4 linked regions of the Schizosaccharomyces pombe genome follow. The protein of the gene in region 1 binds, or shares a complex with, the protein of each later gene. Each region holds a gene or a part of one and is shown on either strand. Other genes may lie near its edges.

Region 1 (3,736 bases):
AAGAATGATAAGAAATTGGTGTTTTTTATTTCCATAAAAATTGAGGGTCATAATTTCGTCGGCTATAGAGCTATGTATACAATCTCCAAATGACTTTGACTTTCGGTTTGGAAATCCGCTAGAAAGTGAAGAAGAATGTATACATAAAAGGTGTAATTAGGTTCAATTCCCAATTTACATCTAAATAAATAATGCTGATACTAGGAACGTTCTTTATCATAAAATGAAATGTGTTTCAACAAATACCTAATTAAGCATTTATCGTTTTAATCATCTTTTTTTAATTTACAAATATTTTATAAAAATAAAAAAAGTGTTTAGATATTTCTTGGGTAAAAGACACTAAACGGTTGCTAAACATTTGTGTCGATTGAATATGAATGATATAATATCGTTAAAAATGCGTTGGAATCACTTGGTTTGAATGTTGGAAATTAGATTCCAAACCCATGCGAATGAAGCGTAGAAATTCATCGACACTCATGCCATTTCTGGAGCAGATTTTCCAAAGACTAGCAGTTTGTTCCATTACTAGCTCATCCAAACCAAGACGATCATATTTCTTCGATCGATGCTTAGGTTCTTGGACAAGGTTTCTAGATTCTTCTACATCTTGATTGGAAGGTTGGTCAAGATCATAACGATCCCAGTAAGGCTTTTCGCTGTGTGAAACAGGAGAAACATCCCGCTCCTTGTCAGTGGATGTTAAGTCACCACTAGAATCGCGTCTCAACAATTGTTTTTGGGTTTTATCATAGAGGCCCATAAGTTTCAGAGAATGATCCTTTTGGTAAAAAAATACCTCAAATTCATACTTCCCTGCTTCAAATAAATACGATATCACATGGTCTTCAGGTGTCCCGCGACCAACAAACTTGGCAGAACGAGGGTCAAAGCTTTGCAAAAATTTCCATAACTCTTCTGACTCCTCTTTGCTGAGGTCCTTATTTATAACTAATCCTTCCCACCATCGATCCGTGGGTGCTAAAAACTTGACTCTCAACTGCAAGATAGGGGTAACAACACCATCTAGTTGTTTGGGATTTTTCAAAGGGAATATGCCTAAGCATGCTAATTCATCATGTCTTTCGTTAGTCATGTTTCACTGTGTACTAAAGTGAAATTAAATCAAAGCTTAAGCTGCCGGGTGTAATTGACAATGTGAACAACGCATATGCTACCACTCCATTTATATACGTAACTGACACGGCTTCTGGATAACGAGGATCGATTACTGACACAATCAATTTTTTAAAATATTAAACAACTTTCACTATTCTCGTATTAGCAACAAAGTTCTTTTGCTGCGGTATTTTTTGTTATTCTCAAATGTTCTAAAGAAGTTGCCAGATTAATCCATCGCTGGAAAAGAATCCAATAGTTCAAAGTTCTTTCAGCTAAAGCCTAGATCCAATTTATGAATAAGCTAACTTGGGAATCGGGATAAACTCTTACCTCTGCATAAAAATAATATACCCAATGCCTTATATTAACATGGTGCTCGAGGGTTTGTTTACTATATAGTTCGAGTAAAATTCATCGCATCCAAAAGTTTCGTTATTATGCTTTAAAATTAAACTGACTGTGCATTAAAGTTTTTAGTATATTACACTGCAGTACCATACCTTCACTGTCAGTTTGTAAGTCTACTTGTACTTTCCAGGAATTTGGGCCGTGACGAACCCAAAAGTCATATTCCACTATTCAAACGTTTTATAGTCTCACAGTTTTAGCAGTTACTTCCCTGTAATCTGCTAATAAATTTTAACAAAAGAGATATTTGTTATTAAACCAAAGTCATTTGCTTTATCCTTGAGTTAACCGACTTTTAGAAGTCCTTAAAAGTAGTAGTGCTCAATATTTCTGAACACAAATTACTGGTGCTTCTATTTCAATTCGTACATTGGCAAGATTTTTTATCTTTTCAATTTTAAGAATACCGCAAAAGTTATAGAATCGTTAGCCCGATATCTCTTCTCACGACTCGCTAAGCGTCTTCTATCCATATATTTTTCGTCCTCATATACATTGATTTAAGAATATGACAACTGTGAAAAGAACTGTGAGATTAATTACTGATCAGGTATGAAAGCCATCTGATTCATTTGCTACGACCGAGGCGCGTTATTTGACCCAATGGTCAAGGTTAGGTGCAATTACAAAAAACTTTGGCATTATACAGGATGCTCGTACAATTGAATTTAGAAGAACAATAAAAAACAAAACTTTTTCTTGCAAGTATCTTGATGAACTTTGAACTTACAATATTTAGAATGTGTTGCCGGGAGGTGAAGCAGCTGTGTTGAACGATCAAAGCTTCCCTGTGAGGGAATGGTCTATAAAATTGGTCTGCTTAAATCCTCAGGGAGAAGAAACTGACGCTTCCTTTGTTGATCGTGTCACCTATAAGCTACATCCAACATTTCAAAATCCTACACGCAGTATGTATTATGTGATGAAAGGAAGATTAGCAGAATAACGTTAACTAATTTTTTTAGCTATCAGAAAACCTCCTTTCCAAATAAAAGAGCAAGGATGGGGTGAGTTTGAAATGGAGATCATAATATACTATGCGGACAAAGGTGGTGAACATCGGTTCCTTCACTATTTACATTTTCAGCAGGAGCATTATCATGAGGATATCGAATTGGTATGTGTTTTAAGTATTTTAACATTTACTAGACTCTGATTTTATGGTGCTAACTGAGTCTTAGAATATCAATGCTACTAGGCCAGGTTTATTAAAGGCACTGACAGCCACTGGAGAAGTACCTGGCTACAGTGATGAAGGTGAAGAAGCTCGTAAGGATAAAAGAAAAAACGAATCAGAAGTTGGTGCTGGGAAGAAAAAGGCGAAAGCTAAACCTGTTGACATGGATAAACTTGCAGAGGGTTTGCAAAAACTTCAGGAGGATGACTTGTTACAAGTTGTGCAGATGGTGAATGAGAACAAAACACCAGACATGTATGTCCGAAACGACATTGAAGGGGGTGAATTCCATATTGACTTATATACTCTGCCGGACAATCTTCTGCTCTTATTATACAGTTTCTGTGCTAAACGCGTCACTATGTAATTAAGAGCATTGCAGTTTTGTGCAGCCTACTTTAAGGGAGAAGCGTTAGTTTCCCCATTCTACTTTTTTCCTGAAGACTGCTTAATGAGTTCTTGTATCATAATTTAAATAAGAAATTTCATTCCTTTTCACTATTTTTTGAGTTTAACTTGCGCTTAAACAGCGATACAAACATTTGTATTTTGGTACTATGGTGTAGCTTTTGTCTCGAAAAAGAATATTTGGTTAGATTAATATAATTATTTTTGTTTTTACTTACATAATATTTTAAAACCGACCTTTTTAGCTTTCATAATCAGCAATTCAGATTATGATCACACTGCCGATAAGTAGTTATTTATCATTCCTTGGATTAGGCTCACTTTGCTATTCGCAAACGTTTCCTGCAACTACAACTTCATGACAGATTAAATTATAATTATTTTATATCGACCTTATAGTGTTTATTTATTACTGCACAAGAAATTATAGAGTTATGTCTCTAAAACCAGTTAAATTAGCCTTTGAGAAGTATTCTGCCACAGTTGCTAAACACCCCCCAGTTTTGATCTTCCACGGACTATTGGGATCTAAGCGTAATTGGAGAAGTTTGGCAAAAAAGTTTTCCTGCAAACTTGACCGGGATATTTACGCTATTGATCAGAGGTGTCATGGAGATT
Region 2 (3,999 bases), 1.6 Mb from region 1:
ACTTTTTACAATAGTAAGAAAATCGCAAATCACAACCTTTTCAGTTTGAAGATAAGTAACTAGTACTTTTTTTTCAAAATATCAATTATAAATAAAACTTATAAATTGATAATTATACAAAAATACCAAATTGTTGGTGTTGGTGCCACAACTGGGAGATGGTTAAGGTTAACTTTCAAACCATTCCAAAAAATTTACCACTTTAATGGATAACGGAATAAACTGCCAAAATGTTGTGAGCGCCCGGAGTAAGAAATTAGATCCGCCAGGATATAGCAGGCTTTATAATTTGGCAACACATATAATCGCAAAATAATCAAAAAATATCATTTTTCTCTAGCCATATAGTAACCATATATTCTCGAACTATAATTTTATTACTAAGCATCGAACCCAACAAAATTATGCCTTTTTATCAAATGTATACAAATTTTGAGATCAGCATTGTTTATTCTTTTACTATAAAATTATTAATTTAGCGTGAAATAGCTTTCGAAGCAAGATGCAATTTACATTTTTCAAGTTTGCCATTTCGCCGTGATCCTCATCAGTAATTTGTCGGTGAAGGCAAAATTCTGGATTGCTTAGGAAATGAGCAATTTGTACATGTTTATAAAATTCTGTTAACCGAAGCCCGCTTGAAAAAGTTACAATTATAACAGTGGAAGTTTTGCACCTGTAGATAACTTATCGATATCGTTAGATACTTTGAGGCTATTCGGTGAATAATGCCCGCATTCTTTTAGCTGGTTTTTCAGTTTGATAATTAACGAGCGCCGGAAATTTCAAATTTTTCAAGTAAATTGAGTTGGATAGGATTTGAAGGATCACGAAGCTATATTTTAAGGAGTTCTCATCTCCATAAATTACTAAGTACATTGTAAAATGCCGGTTTATAATAAGCCTTGAAATCAATCATACTTAGTAACTGCATTTTGAATGCTAAAATAGAAATATTTTCTTCTTACTGCTGAAGCGGTTTCCGTTAAAAATTGTTCAGATAGTTGCGTTCGCGCTATTTAAAGCAACCTTTATAAATATATTCAAAGCTTGGCAAGATTCTCTTTCGAGCCTTAGCGGAAACTTTGATTTCTAATTGCTCAACTTAATAAAATCGTAAAAAGATCTTATAATTCATTTTTTGCCTTGCAATTGTCGCAAGGGGTCATAGCTCAGTGGTTAGAGTGAGGGATTGCAGATCCCCAGGTCACTGGTTCAAATCCGGTTGGTCCCTTGTTTTTTTCTTATAGAAATTAGATTTTTTCACAAAAAATCAGAAGATTTGTGACAGTTTCAGCTTTTCGACAAAAGTATGTAACTAAGAACAATCATTTTCTAGATGCTTTCTTTTGACTTGAAAACTTGAGTTATCCGAATAAAGTAGAGTGATATTCTAAGAAGGATAGCCCTCGATATATGCGTGTAACAGTCTCAAATGTTCTCTGGCTTATAATATAAGATCGTCAATTTACCATTCGTACCCATAGACCCACCTTATATTCATTCAATTACTACAAATTCTTTTGTTGTATCCATTAACTAACGTAACTTTTTATTAGGAAAAAACATAGTGATAATTAGCGTGTCGAATTAAATATAGCGAAATGGCCTTAATATGTAGTTAAGCTATTGTTTCTTAAAACACGTTTATCAAAATGCACCGTAACTTGTAAATGAGTATAGCCGGACGACTTGTCAACAACTAGTGCTCTAATTTATTAAATGGCAATTGTGCTATTTCTCTTGTATTTATAATTTTTATTATTAAGGCCTCTTTCTTAACTTTTCAAGTGTGTTACAACTTAAAAACAACTTAATTTTGTGGGTATTACATTTTTTTCGTGAGTGGACTATTCAAAAATCAGACCTTCACGATGACTCTCGATCAAGTTCGCATACCCTTTCTGGTGGAACAAACTTATCCCATCATTGTTCCTTCTTATGCAGGATGGTTTGACATGTCGAAAATACACGATATTGAGCGAAGGTCGAATCCCGAATTTTTTAATGGAAAATCTCCTCTCAAAACTCCTTCTATATACAAGGACTATAGAGATTTTATGATTAATTCATATCGTTTAGAACCAAATGAATACCTGACAGTTACTGCATGTCGTCGAAATCTTGTTGGTGATGTTTGTGCTATAATTCGCGTGCATGCATTTCTCGAACAGTGGGGCTTAATTAACTATCAAATCGATCCTGAAACGCGACCTGCATTCCGACTTCCTCCTATTTCAGGACATGTTCAAGCTATTAGTAATACTCCAATCGTCACGCAAGAAATGTTAGCTCAACACCCTCCTCCTAGTACCGTCGGTGGATCTTCGAGCCAAGAATTTGTTAAATTAGAAGAAAAGCATTACAGCCCTAGTTTAAATGCAATGGAACAAACCTCTCCCAAAGAAGAAGATGAAAAAAGCGACAAAGTCCCTCGAGTCGATAAAGTTTGTTTCACTTGCGGTGTTAATTGCTCTCAAACTTGGTATCACAACTTAAAAAACAAAAAATATGACATCTGTCCAAACTGTTATAAACAAGGGAGGTTTTCTTCTTCCTTTAATTCCTCTGATTTTTTGTGCATGGATGCGATTGATTTCAATCACGACGAGGAAAAACCATGGTCTAACCAAGAAACTTTGCTTTTATTAGAAGCTATTGAAACTTATGGAGACGACTGGAATCAAATAGCTTTACATGTTGGATCACGAACTAAAGAGCAATGCTTGATTCATTTCCTCCAGATTCCTATAGAGGATCCCTATCGACAGAAACTTCAGGGTGACTTTTCCCCATTTAAAAAGGGATTTTTGCCCTTTGATGAAAATGAAAATCCAGTTTTAAGTACTTTAACATATTTGGCTTCCATTGTTCAACAAGGCATGAAAGAGCGCAAGCAAAATGAATCAGTGAAACAAGGAGAAACCTCCTTTGGGAATTCCGAGTTTAAAAACCCACTAGAGAGGGTTGCTTATTATGCTTTAAAATCTGCTGCTCAAAAAGCAAAATTGATTGCAGCGTTTGAAAATCGCCAGCTTCGACGCTTGGTTTTTTCGTTAATCCAGGCTCAGCTTGAGAAGTTACAGCTTAAAATGAAGGTGCTTGAACAACTCGAAAAGATGTGTTCTTTAGAATTATCTGAACTCGATCTTCGTGGAAAAAACTTACTACTAAGTCGTTTGTCTACTAAAAAAATGCTTCTTGCGTTTAACAAGAAATTGGAAGAAGCTGTTAATTTGGGCGGTGAAGATGGTTTGAAAATAATTGACGATTTAATGAGTACAGAACATGCAGAAGCATTATTGACATTTGAGATGCCTACGGCAACAACCGTTTCTCCTTTAAGTAAGCAATATCCCGATAAATTTCGTACAATTGCTTTATAAGTTAGGTTCACCAAATTCAAATTTGTATTCTGCATGAAGTTCTTTTGGCTATCTAGTTTTTATAGACATATATATATGTAATCTAAATTTTTTTTTTGAAAAAGAAAAAAAAATGAACATTAAATTCTAATTGTTATATAACTGAAATGCATCTTAAATATATAGATAATTCATATAAAATATGATCATAATGGCAATTAAGTGTTACATTTATGCATTAAAGAATTCTTAGGCCATGTATAACCAGCCATTTCCCAAGTTGTAGCATTTGGATTTTTGTATGCTAACGGATGTTCTTCAATATACTTGGTAGTAGGATAGCCGGGGGGATCACATCCGATATGTGAGTTGGTGTCATCAGGGTCTTGATAGATACGAATGTAATCTATGTACATCACTGCAGGAAATGAAAGATCCCGGAAGTAATAATAAGCCCAATTGTTTGATATTCCAAGGTTGAAAATAATAGACATTGGCTCCTCACTAATTTGACGAGGTCCGACATTTCCATTTTGACCGACGGCGCTGCCAAGCATCGACCAAGTATAGTTTGGACCGACAAACCAAGATACATACCCATTAGTACCTTCACCAGGCTTGTAGTCAAAACCAT
Region 3 (4,517 bases), on another chromosome or scaffold:
GTTCAAGTAATGTTTTGCGCGTTGTTCAATCTCACCCAAATTGAACTGGATAAACGGAAGACATGGTTCCAACAACTCATTAGCAAGTTTACGAGACTTTTGATCTAAAAAAGGTATGCCTCTAGCTTCCTTTGGTGAATCGTCAGACGCAACCGTCATGGCGATGGTCAAGATGTAAACAAGCACAATGCGTTTGAGAGAATCTGTCTCGGTGAACTAAGGAAATTGAAGTCACCGAGTTCACCGAACCTTAATTGTTAAAAACAATATTTCATACTAAACAGGTCAACAGTAAAACGTTAAAGAGTATTTGAATCATCCTTGTACTCGGTTGGAATTACAAATTCTTATGCAAAAAGCTTTGCTTTACGTATACAGCAAGTGTGAAGTCAAGTCTGTCTATGTGGATGTGAAAGGGCTTAAAAAGTATAAAATTAAAAATTTTAAAATACTATTTTCAAACATCGATTGTTCTCGTTTAGCTCTTACTATCATTTAAAAGCCAATACATATGAATTCACAGAATCAGCAGTGAATTATTTGGGCCCTTAGGGACAGCAATAGGGAAATGATATTTAATATTGGTAAAAAGTGTTCAGAATTTAGAGAAATAACTGAATGGATGATATTTCAAACCCTCTTACTACTAACAGCCGTGGTCGCTCATACTCATACGTTTAATGACCCATAATTGAATATAGGATTAAGAAATCGTCAGAAATTTAAAAATAAATATATATAAACTAGCAAAAAATATTTTAGTATAGATAAGGCTACCATTGTCTCGTGGTGTGCGATTTCCCAATAAAGCTATTTGCTATAAGCGTTTTGCTTTTGTAGGTAAATATCAAAGCCATTAGTTAATTAAAGGAAATGGGACAGAATCTGGAAAATCAAGTATTGTGCCTCGGTTGACACTCGTAAACTAGAAGAGATTATGTTCAACTCGCATTACAATATCATATACATGAAACCAAATAGTCTCCTCCATTTTCAGCAGAAGAAATAATGAAATCGTTAAATATTTACATGCTGATTTCGTTAGAGATTTATTCAAAAACTGATTACTTACTCCTCAATTGCCCACATATGTGCCTCGTGTTCTTGTGCCTTTCTCTCATTTTGGCGCTGAAACCATTTATTTTCAAATCCATTACCACGAATAATTCCATCCCAACGATGGCCAGGTCGTATATTAAACCTATTGGGAGGCGCATATCCTTGATAAGTAGCTTTTGATGATACAGGTTTATTAGTGAGAAACGAAGCAGCTGGGTCATTCCAACGAGACCTTTCTTTCAATTCCTTATTGTATTCAGGATCGTCCTCATAACGCGCCAATGGCACCGTTTTTTGCCTTTCAAGTTCTTTTAGGTATTCTTTCTGTTGACGCACTTGAACCACACCTTGTTGTTGTTCCTTCTGTCTTCTAGCTTCTTCCTCTTTCTCTTTTAATTTTCTTTTGGCTTCTTTTCTTGCAAGAACCAGATCTATCCTTCTCCCTGTGGCATCTCTGTAAACAGTTTCGCGACTTTTGCGAAGCTCTTCCTCATCAAGATTGGATGATTTCTCTTCTCTCTTTCTTCTTTCTTCAGCTTTAAAGGTCACCTGCTTTCCAGTTAACAGACCGAACTGAGGAATTGATTCAGCATCATGAGAATCCTGTTGTTCAGATTCGACAACTTCATCATTCCCCACAGCTTTCCACAACTGAGCAGGTTTATTAGTAGTTTTTTCTATATTCTGATAAATAGCATCAATATCTCGATCTTTAAGGCTTTCATTTGCGACAATTGTAGGGGCATCATGCAAAGATGTGAGTTCTCTGTTGACTAGTGAAAATGAATTGTCATCGTCCCATCCAGCGACATCTTCATCCTGAATTTCTACAAAATCCTTCTCTTTCTTCTTTTTCTTTTTCCCTTGATCTTTTCGTAAATACTTTTTAGCAATATAGTCGGCGTTTGACATATGTGCTGAATGCATATTTTCTTACCTGAGCGCTTCTTAACTCGCTACCTTCCAACACCGGCGGAAGATCAGTATTGACATATTTTATCGGAGAACATGGATTCACAAGAGACAAAAGTTTTTGAAAATGTAAAGCAGGAAAATCCTGATGAGAAGAAACCCAAAGTTGAGGAGCCTGACTCCCAAAATAATGCTTCGACACAATCGCAGCAAAAATTTTTGGATTTCCAGCTTTCATGGTGTCCAGAGAGTGAAAGAAAAACAACTAAATACCATTTATTAAAATTTCACTCTAACAAAGCCATTGATCCTTCCAAATCCTTTGTGCCACCCATAAAAATGCAACGCAGAGACCCCAATGCTCCATCTTCGTCAAACGGAGAACAAAATGCAGAACAAGGAAGCTCCAGTAACGTGAACATCGCTTCAATCGCTCCTTACGGTGGCGCTCAAAACATGAAGCAGAATGCCTTTAAAAGGAAAACTCGCCAGGTCGTCAAAGTTGATCCACAGGCCCGCAGACTACAAGAGGAGGAGTTATCTCCTTGGATTATGGAAGATTTTGAAGGAAAAAACACATGGGTTAGTACGATGGAAGGCGGCCAATCGTCTGCATATGTATTGTTCATGTTCTCTGTAAGTTTTTATCCCATTTGAAGATGTTGGATGTTTATCATTCATCTTTTGATCATTTAAGATTTTTTATGCTTACTCTATAGGAAAATGGTTTTAAGGTGATTCCAACTGATAGATTTTATCGATTTAATCAACGTAACAATTTCCAAACGCTTTCAATTGATGAAGCGGAGGCAAAGGTCAGTCCTTATTTCCATCAGGTCTTGTCTAACCCATTTAGATGAATAAAAAAACTCCGATTCCTCGCTGGTTTATGAAAAAGGAGAGTGAAGAAAACTTAGCAGAGGCAGGCTCTGCTTCACCCATGTATAAACTTAAGACGGTTCCAAATGCACGTCCTGTAACGGGACCGAGAGCTAGTGGAAGTGATGATGAACTAGATTATGACGAGGAATTCGCTGACGATGAAGAAGCACCTATTATGGAAGGAAATGAAGAAGATAATAAGAAGTTGAAAGACAAGATTAAAAAGGAAATGCTAACTGCCAATTTGTTTGGTGAAGCTGATCAAGATGTCGACCTTGAAGAGGAGAATGATAGACAAATGTCGCGTGAAGGAAAAAAGCTGCAAAGATACTTAAAATTGCTTGAAAAGAATTTAGCTTATGAGAGTGATGAGGAAGATGAGGACCCTTATGCTTCCTCCCATGATGCGTCTAGTGAAGAAGAAGTTTTGCAAGAAGAAGAAGAATTGCAAAAGCGTGAAGAAAAACTAAAGTCTAGATTTTCTGCGAACGCTTCCAAAACTAATACACCAAGACCACTAGAACGAACGCCAAGCAGCGTATCTCCTGTCAAAGCTTCATCGCAACTACAATCACCTAATACTTCTATTCAAATAAGGCCTCAAGAACAACTTATTAACAAACCTGGATATATAATTCTCCGCTTATCAAGTGAAAAGTTATCACGGTTTGCCAATGACTTTCCCCGTATGGTCCCTAGCATGGGGTCTACAGAAACGAGTGTAGGAGATCAAGTGGAGGTTGTGGGAGATACTACAAATGTTCCAATTGATGGTATGCTAAAGTTTTACATTTACCAGAAAATTTATTAACGTGCTTTTAGATTCTAATCTGATTACGGAGGCAGAGGTAATGAAGGCTTTAAGAGCTGGTCCCATTTCTATTAAGGATCTAGTTCACCTGTTCCAACGCAAAATTAGAGCCGACAACAGAAATCGGTTGGGAATACAGAAGATCATTCGAAAGGTTGCTCGATTTGAGAACAAGCTACTCGTTTTAAAAAACTAGTTATGAATTATCTATGTAATAACGTTTATATATTAATGAACATTAAAGAAAACATTTGTTTTATTTTTGGAAACAAAATTCAAAATTGCATTAATTTAAGAGCATAGTAGAACTATTACAATTTAACATTTCCCCTAAAATAGAAAACGTCGGATTGTTAAGAAGTGCACTCGTCGATCGGTATAGTATCAAATACACGAGTTTACGATCGCGATGTTCAACTATGCTACTATATAACTGTAAATGTGTATAAAATATATAAAGAAGAAAAATAACAAACCATTTCTTTAAGACATGGTAAACAGCTGTGCTAAGAATTCTATATACACAAGTCATTATATAAAATCATTCCATGATGCCGTATGTCGTAATGATAATAAGAAAAGGGGGTTGTAAACAATTATACATTAAAGCCGTTAAAATTAGCAGCCTACAAAGGTAGCTCGAAGCTAACATTCACATCGGCTTCACGTGCCATTTCGACAACGCGACTGAAACGACAAGCCTTCTTAGCTGCTTCATCAAGATCATCAAATGAGAAAATACGGAGACCTGAGTTGTTGATTACCTCTTTGGCAGCACCTTGGTTGGTTCCTTGAAGTCTGCAAATAATAGGTATGTTCAGATTCAACGCTGATACTACCGAGATAAGACCTT
Region 4 (3,561 bases), 1.7 Mb from region 1:
GATGACGGGGGTATTGTAAGCTTATTCACTTTCTTGACAAAATAATGGTGTCTGAGGTACGTTTACTGTACATATACTGTATTTTATTATTTATTCGTTCGTATGTGGGAAAGAGAAATATTATGTTTTACAGACACGGTGGGGAGTTAGGTGAAGAAAGAAAATGATGCGAGTACGGGAAAATTTGTATGAAGGTTGAAAGGTATGGTAGTAGACAGGATACATAAAGTCACAATATTTCATGTTTTAAATTTTATTTCAATTTATTAATAACCAAAATATTACAGACATGGATTTCGTAATAGCAATTTTTTCTGCAAGCCCCTTAAAACATCATTACAAGTTTCCTGACTTTGAGTAACTTTACCAAACCAAAATATAACAATATGCGTGATCTACATTATGTTATACTCGCTACCTTATTTCGGCGATCTCACGACCAAAAGACGCAAAATTTAATATCTCTTTATTTTCTTTCTTAAAAAAAATAAAGAGATATTGTAGCAATGCGACCACTTACGGACTGATATGATATAGGATTTTTCATACAAGACTCGCAAATGGATGAGTATATAAATACAAATTATGTTAAATCATTGCTTCTAACAACCCAAACTAATCGAACCGTTGGTGAATGATGCATTTAAATTGCTATGAGGACCTGCTTGAAACTAAGTTTCGAGGCGCTGATAACAAATATCTATCAACTTTAGGTATAAAAATGTTGAAGTACGAAAACTTCTTAGGTATTATTCAGATTTAACTGCTAAAGAATAATTTTTGCAAATCTTTATGGATATCAGCAAAGGTTTCGAATTCAGAGAAAGAAATTTTCTCCCTTTCACAATATTTAATTAAATCACGTCCTTTCTTGGCAAACAAGTGTTCTGTTTCCTTCGCAGCACTCAAATCGGAAACACCATCTCCGCAATAGACCATGTGAGGACGTTTACTTTCTGGCAATTGAGCATACGGACGGATAGTAAGGCTTTTGTCGTGTCCAAAATGACTGTCATCATGATACACAATGTTCCATTGACCATCAGGATGCACATTGATGTCATTAGAAACAATTTCAATACTACTTGCTTCTTCTTTGCCAAGGTATTGCTCAAAAAGTGCACGAATAAAAGGCTCCATACCACTTGAAAGGATGATTACACGAATGTCTTGAGACTTACACCATTCATAGAATGGTTTAAATGATGGATCAATGGCGACATTCTTCTTGAGAACCTCCAAAGCTTCATCATAGCTTAAATGCACTGAATCCAACATCTTCGCGAAAGCATCACTATGAATTGTTAAGAGTTGATTTACGCGTCAAACGCTTACCGAAAAGAAATGGAACCGTCAAGAACTTGTTGATTTAGATTCACACGGTTGGCGTTGCCCATTCCAAAGTTGTCTAAAACATAGTTAGTAAACCGTCGCCGTCGAGTGTTGCAGTAATAAAGCATTCAAGGTGGGCAGGGAAATTTTTGACCCAATGTTATAAAATCATAGATTTCTCTTACAGATTTTCGTAAATCTTCAATAAATATTCAGTTAAGCTTAATTGTAAGAACATTTTCTAACTACCTTTATACATCTTTTTATATCTGTAACAATCTTCCTATTCCCAACCTTACCAGTTAAGTAGTCATTGGAATCCTGGAGTGTAATAGTTCCTAGACCCCAAAAGTTAGTTGTCTGTTTTTATTGAAATTATTTTTTCATACCGTCAAAGTCACTGAATACGTATAACTGCTTTTTCTGAGCCATAGTCCAAATCTTTTTGAATTGCTGAAATTGCTTGCTTTGTACAGCTATCCAACTCTAGGATTTAAAGTAACGAAACTTACCAGCACTGATATAAAGTTTGTTGTTTATTCCGTGATTAGCAAGCAGTCGTTTGTTCGAGTCATGATAAATGTCATATTTTATCTTTTATATGCAAAAAAATGAAATTCTTAAAGTAATTTACAGTCTTCTTTATTTTAAAGGGCTGCAGATTAAAAATCGAAATTAGTGTAGAGGTTGAATTAACTTAAAGCATATATTTATCAAAGAAAAGAAATGATATTCTATATTTCTGCAAGGGGTAAACGATATCCTCAGTACGTTTTACCATAAATCCTAAGAAAAGTGGCCCAAGCCTTGTAAAGTGAAGTGTAATTTTTTTTTTTTTTGTTTTTTCTTTTTAAATTTCAAATGCTTTTTACATCTACAACATTCTCTCAAGCGTGAGTTTCGCTTATCCTAATGTTAGCTACGCAGTTTCGTATTCGTTTTAATGATACGTAGAACTGCGGTGAGTTTTCCTTGTGACCTATAATATCGCAATACACAGATAATATAAGTAGCAACTGAGTGTAGGTATTGTATTAACAAGGTTATAATGTTACCTATCACTGGTATAGCTTGTAACTGAACTGAGGAACGAGGTTTAGCAGTAGCTCTATTTATAGTATTCAGATGATATAAATATTAATAGATTATCATTAAGATCAGTCTCAATATCGTATCATACATAGTACGATATTTAATTAGGACATGTGACATATAGTGATACGCAACGTAAGTATTATAGCGTATTATAGTATTGCTGATACCTAACTATAAATAGCATATTCTAAGCTGTTTATGAATATTTCCGTAAACCAGCTTTATGGCTGGTGCAGCAGTACATTATGTTTAACTCACTATATGAAGACATGAAAGGATATAACAGTAATGTATAAGTATTAAGAAAGTATGTTGCAACGACTTTCTCAGTCTATTAAGGGATTTGCTGCTCGCTTTCCCAAAATCTATAATAAAGGAAATGGATCAGTTCAACAGACTATACTCCAAGCGAGTCAACGCTTGAATGAATTAACTGGTTATTCCTCCATTGAGGCATTAAAGAACGCGGTTGTAAAGCAGGAGACAAAGCTCCGTGATTTTAGATTATCTGCAGCTGAAGCAAGAAAGCGTTATATTGAAGCGGTTGAAAAAAGATCGTCAAGTCAACGTGAAGTCAACGAATTGTTACAACGACGTAGTAGCTGGTCTACTATTGATTTAGAAAGATTTACTAAACTATACCGTGATGATTATTCAAACAAAGAAGAAGAAATTAAGGCTCAAGAAGATGTGGATGTAGCGGAAAGGCGGGTAGAGGAAGCTCAAAATGGATTGGTGCGTTCGATTTTATCGAGATACCACGAAGAACAAGTTTGGAGTGATAAAATCCGGCAAGCAAGTACCTGGGGTACATGGGGATTAATGGGAATTAACGTTGTTCTTTTTGTGGTCGTTCAACTAATATTGGAACCAAGGAAAAGGAAACGGTTGGTTCGTGAAGCTGTGGATCACATTGACAAGGAACGAGAACTTGAAATAAATGATGAACTGAAAAAGATTTCCGAGAAACTTGATAAAAAAGGTGAAGCTGTCGGCCAAGCATTAGAGCTTACTTCTCCGAAAATTGACAATAAAAACCTTCCCAAAAATTCTGCGTCCTTAATTCTTCCTCCTATTAATTACGATACGTTTCACTCTTTTTTGGATTCGCTAAAATATTTCCTATCTCGCTTT

Evidence for each region.
Region 2: tfg3 (region 1) and ssr2 share a complex: the UniProt entries of both Schizosaccharomyces pombe proteins name them as parts of the SWI/SNF global transcription activator complex.
Region 3: tfg3 (region 1) and tfg1 share a complex: the UniProt entries of both Schizosaccharomyces pombe proteins name them as parts of the fcp1/TFIIF/polII complex.
Region 4: tfg3 (region 1) and ptf1 share a complex: the UniProt entries of both Schizosaccharomyces pombe proteins name them as parts of the mst2 complex.

The regions. Positions count from the first base shown.
Region 1 is NC_003424.3:893,325-897,060, forward strand, and holds tfg3 (TFIID, TFIIF, Ino80, SWI/SNF, and NuA4 complex YEATS family subunit Tfg3), read left to right. Parts: upstream 1-1,674; 5' UTR 1,675-2,041; coding exon 2,042-2,083; exon of another isoform or gene 2,084-2,272; coding exon 2,273-2,441; exon of another isoform or gene 2,442-2,498; coding exon 2,499-2,650; exon of another isoform or gene 2,651-2,714; coding exon 2,715-3,077; 3' UTR 3,078-3,223; downstream 3,224-3,736. Other genes in the region: protein mug35, read right to left, coding at 395-1,099; SPOM_SPAC22H12.03 (hydrolase), read left to right, coding at 3,553-3,736. UniProt on the Schizosaccharomyces pombe protein: Functions as a component of the DNA-binding general transcription factor complex TFIID, and the RNA polymerase II associated general transcription factor complex TFIIF.
Region 2 is NC_003424.3:2,509,377-2,513,375, forward strand, and holds ssr2 (SWI/SNF and RSC complex subunit Ssr2), read left to right. Parts: upstream 1-1,704; 5' UTR 1,705-1,874; coding exon 1,875-3,386; 3' UTR 3,387-3,470; downstream 3,471-3,999. Other genes in the region: SPOM_SPAC23H3.11C (glucosidase), read right to left, coding at 3,584-3,999. UniProt on the Schizosaccharomyces pombe protein: Component of the chromatin structure remodeling complex (RSC), which is involved in transcription regulation and nucleosome positioning. Controls particularly membrane and organelle development genes.
Region 3 is NC_003421.2:2,160,674-2,165,190, reverse strand, and holds tfg1 (transcription factor TFIIF complex alpha subunit Tfg1), read left to right. Parts: upstream 1-2,017; 5' UTR 2,018-2,067; coding exon 2,068-2,607; exon of another isoform or gene 2,608-2,690; coding exon 2,691-2,786; exon of another isoform or gene 2,787-2,797; intron 2,798-2,827; coding exon 2,828-3,626; intron 3,627-3,675; coding exon 3,676-3,860; 3' UTR 3,861-3,996; downstream 3,997-4,517. Other genes in the region: nuclear pore complex component nup97, read right to left, coding at 1-159; protein Cwf26, read right to left, coding at 1,026-1,032, 1,073-1,971; succinate-CoA ligase beta subunit Lsc2, read right to left, coding at 4,291-4,517. UniProt on the Schizosaccharomyces pombe protein: TFIIF is a general transcription initiation factor that binds to RNA polymerase II and helps to recruit it to the initiation complex in collaboration with TFIIB. It promotes transcription elongation.
Region 4 is NC_003424.3:2,604,388-2,607,948, reverse strand, and holds ptf1 (phosphoric monoester hydrolase), read right to left. Parts: upstream 1,798-3,561; 5' UTR 1,765-1,797; coding exon 1,722-1,764; exon of another isoform or gene 1,671-1,721; coding exon 1,632-1,670; intron 1,576-1,631; exon of another isoform or gene 1,409-1,575; coding exon 1,336-1,408; exon of another isoform or gene 1,295-1,335; coding exon 760-1,294; 3' UTR 535-759; downstream 1-534. Other genes in the region: protein She9, read left to right, coding at 2,737-3,561. UniProt on the Schizosaccharomyces pombe protein: Component of the mst2 complex which is a highly specific H3 lysine 14 (H3K14) acetyltransferase that functions together with gcn5 to regulate global levels of H3K14 acetylation (H3K14ac), critical for DNA damage checkpoint activation.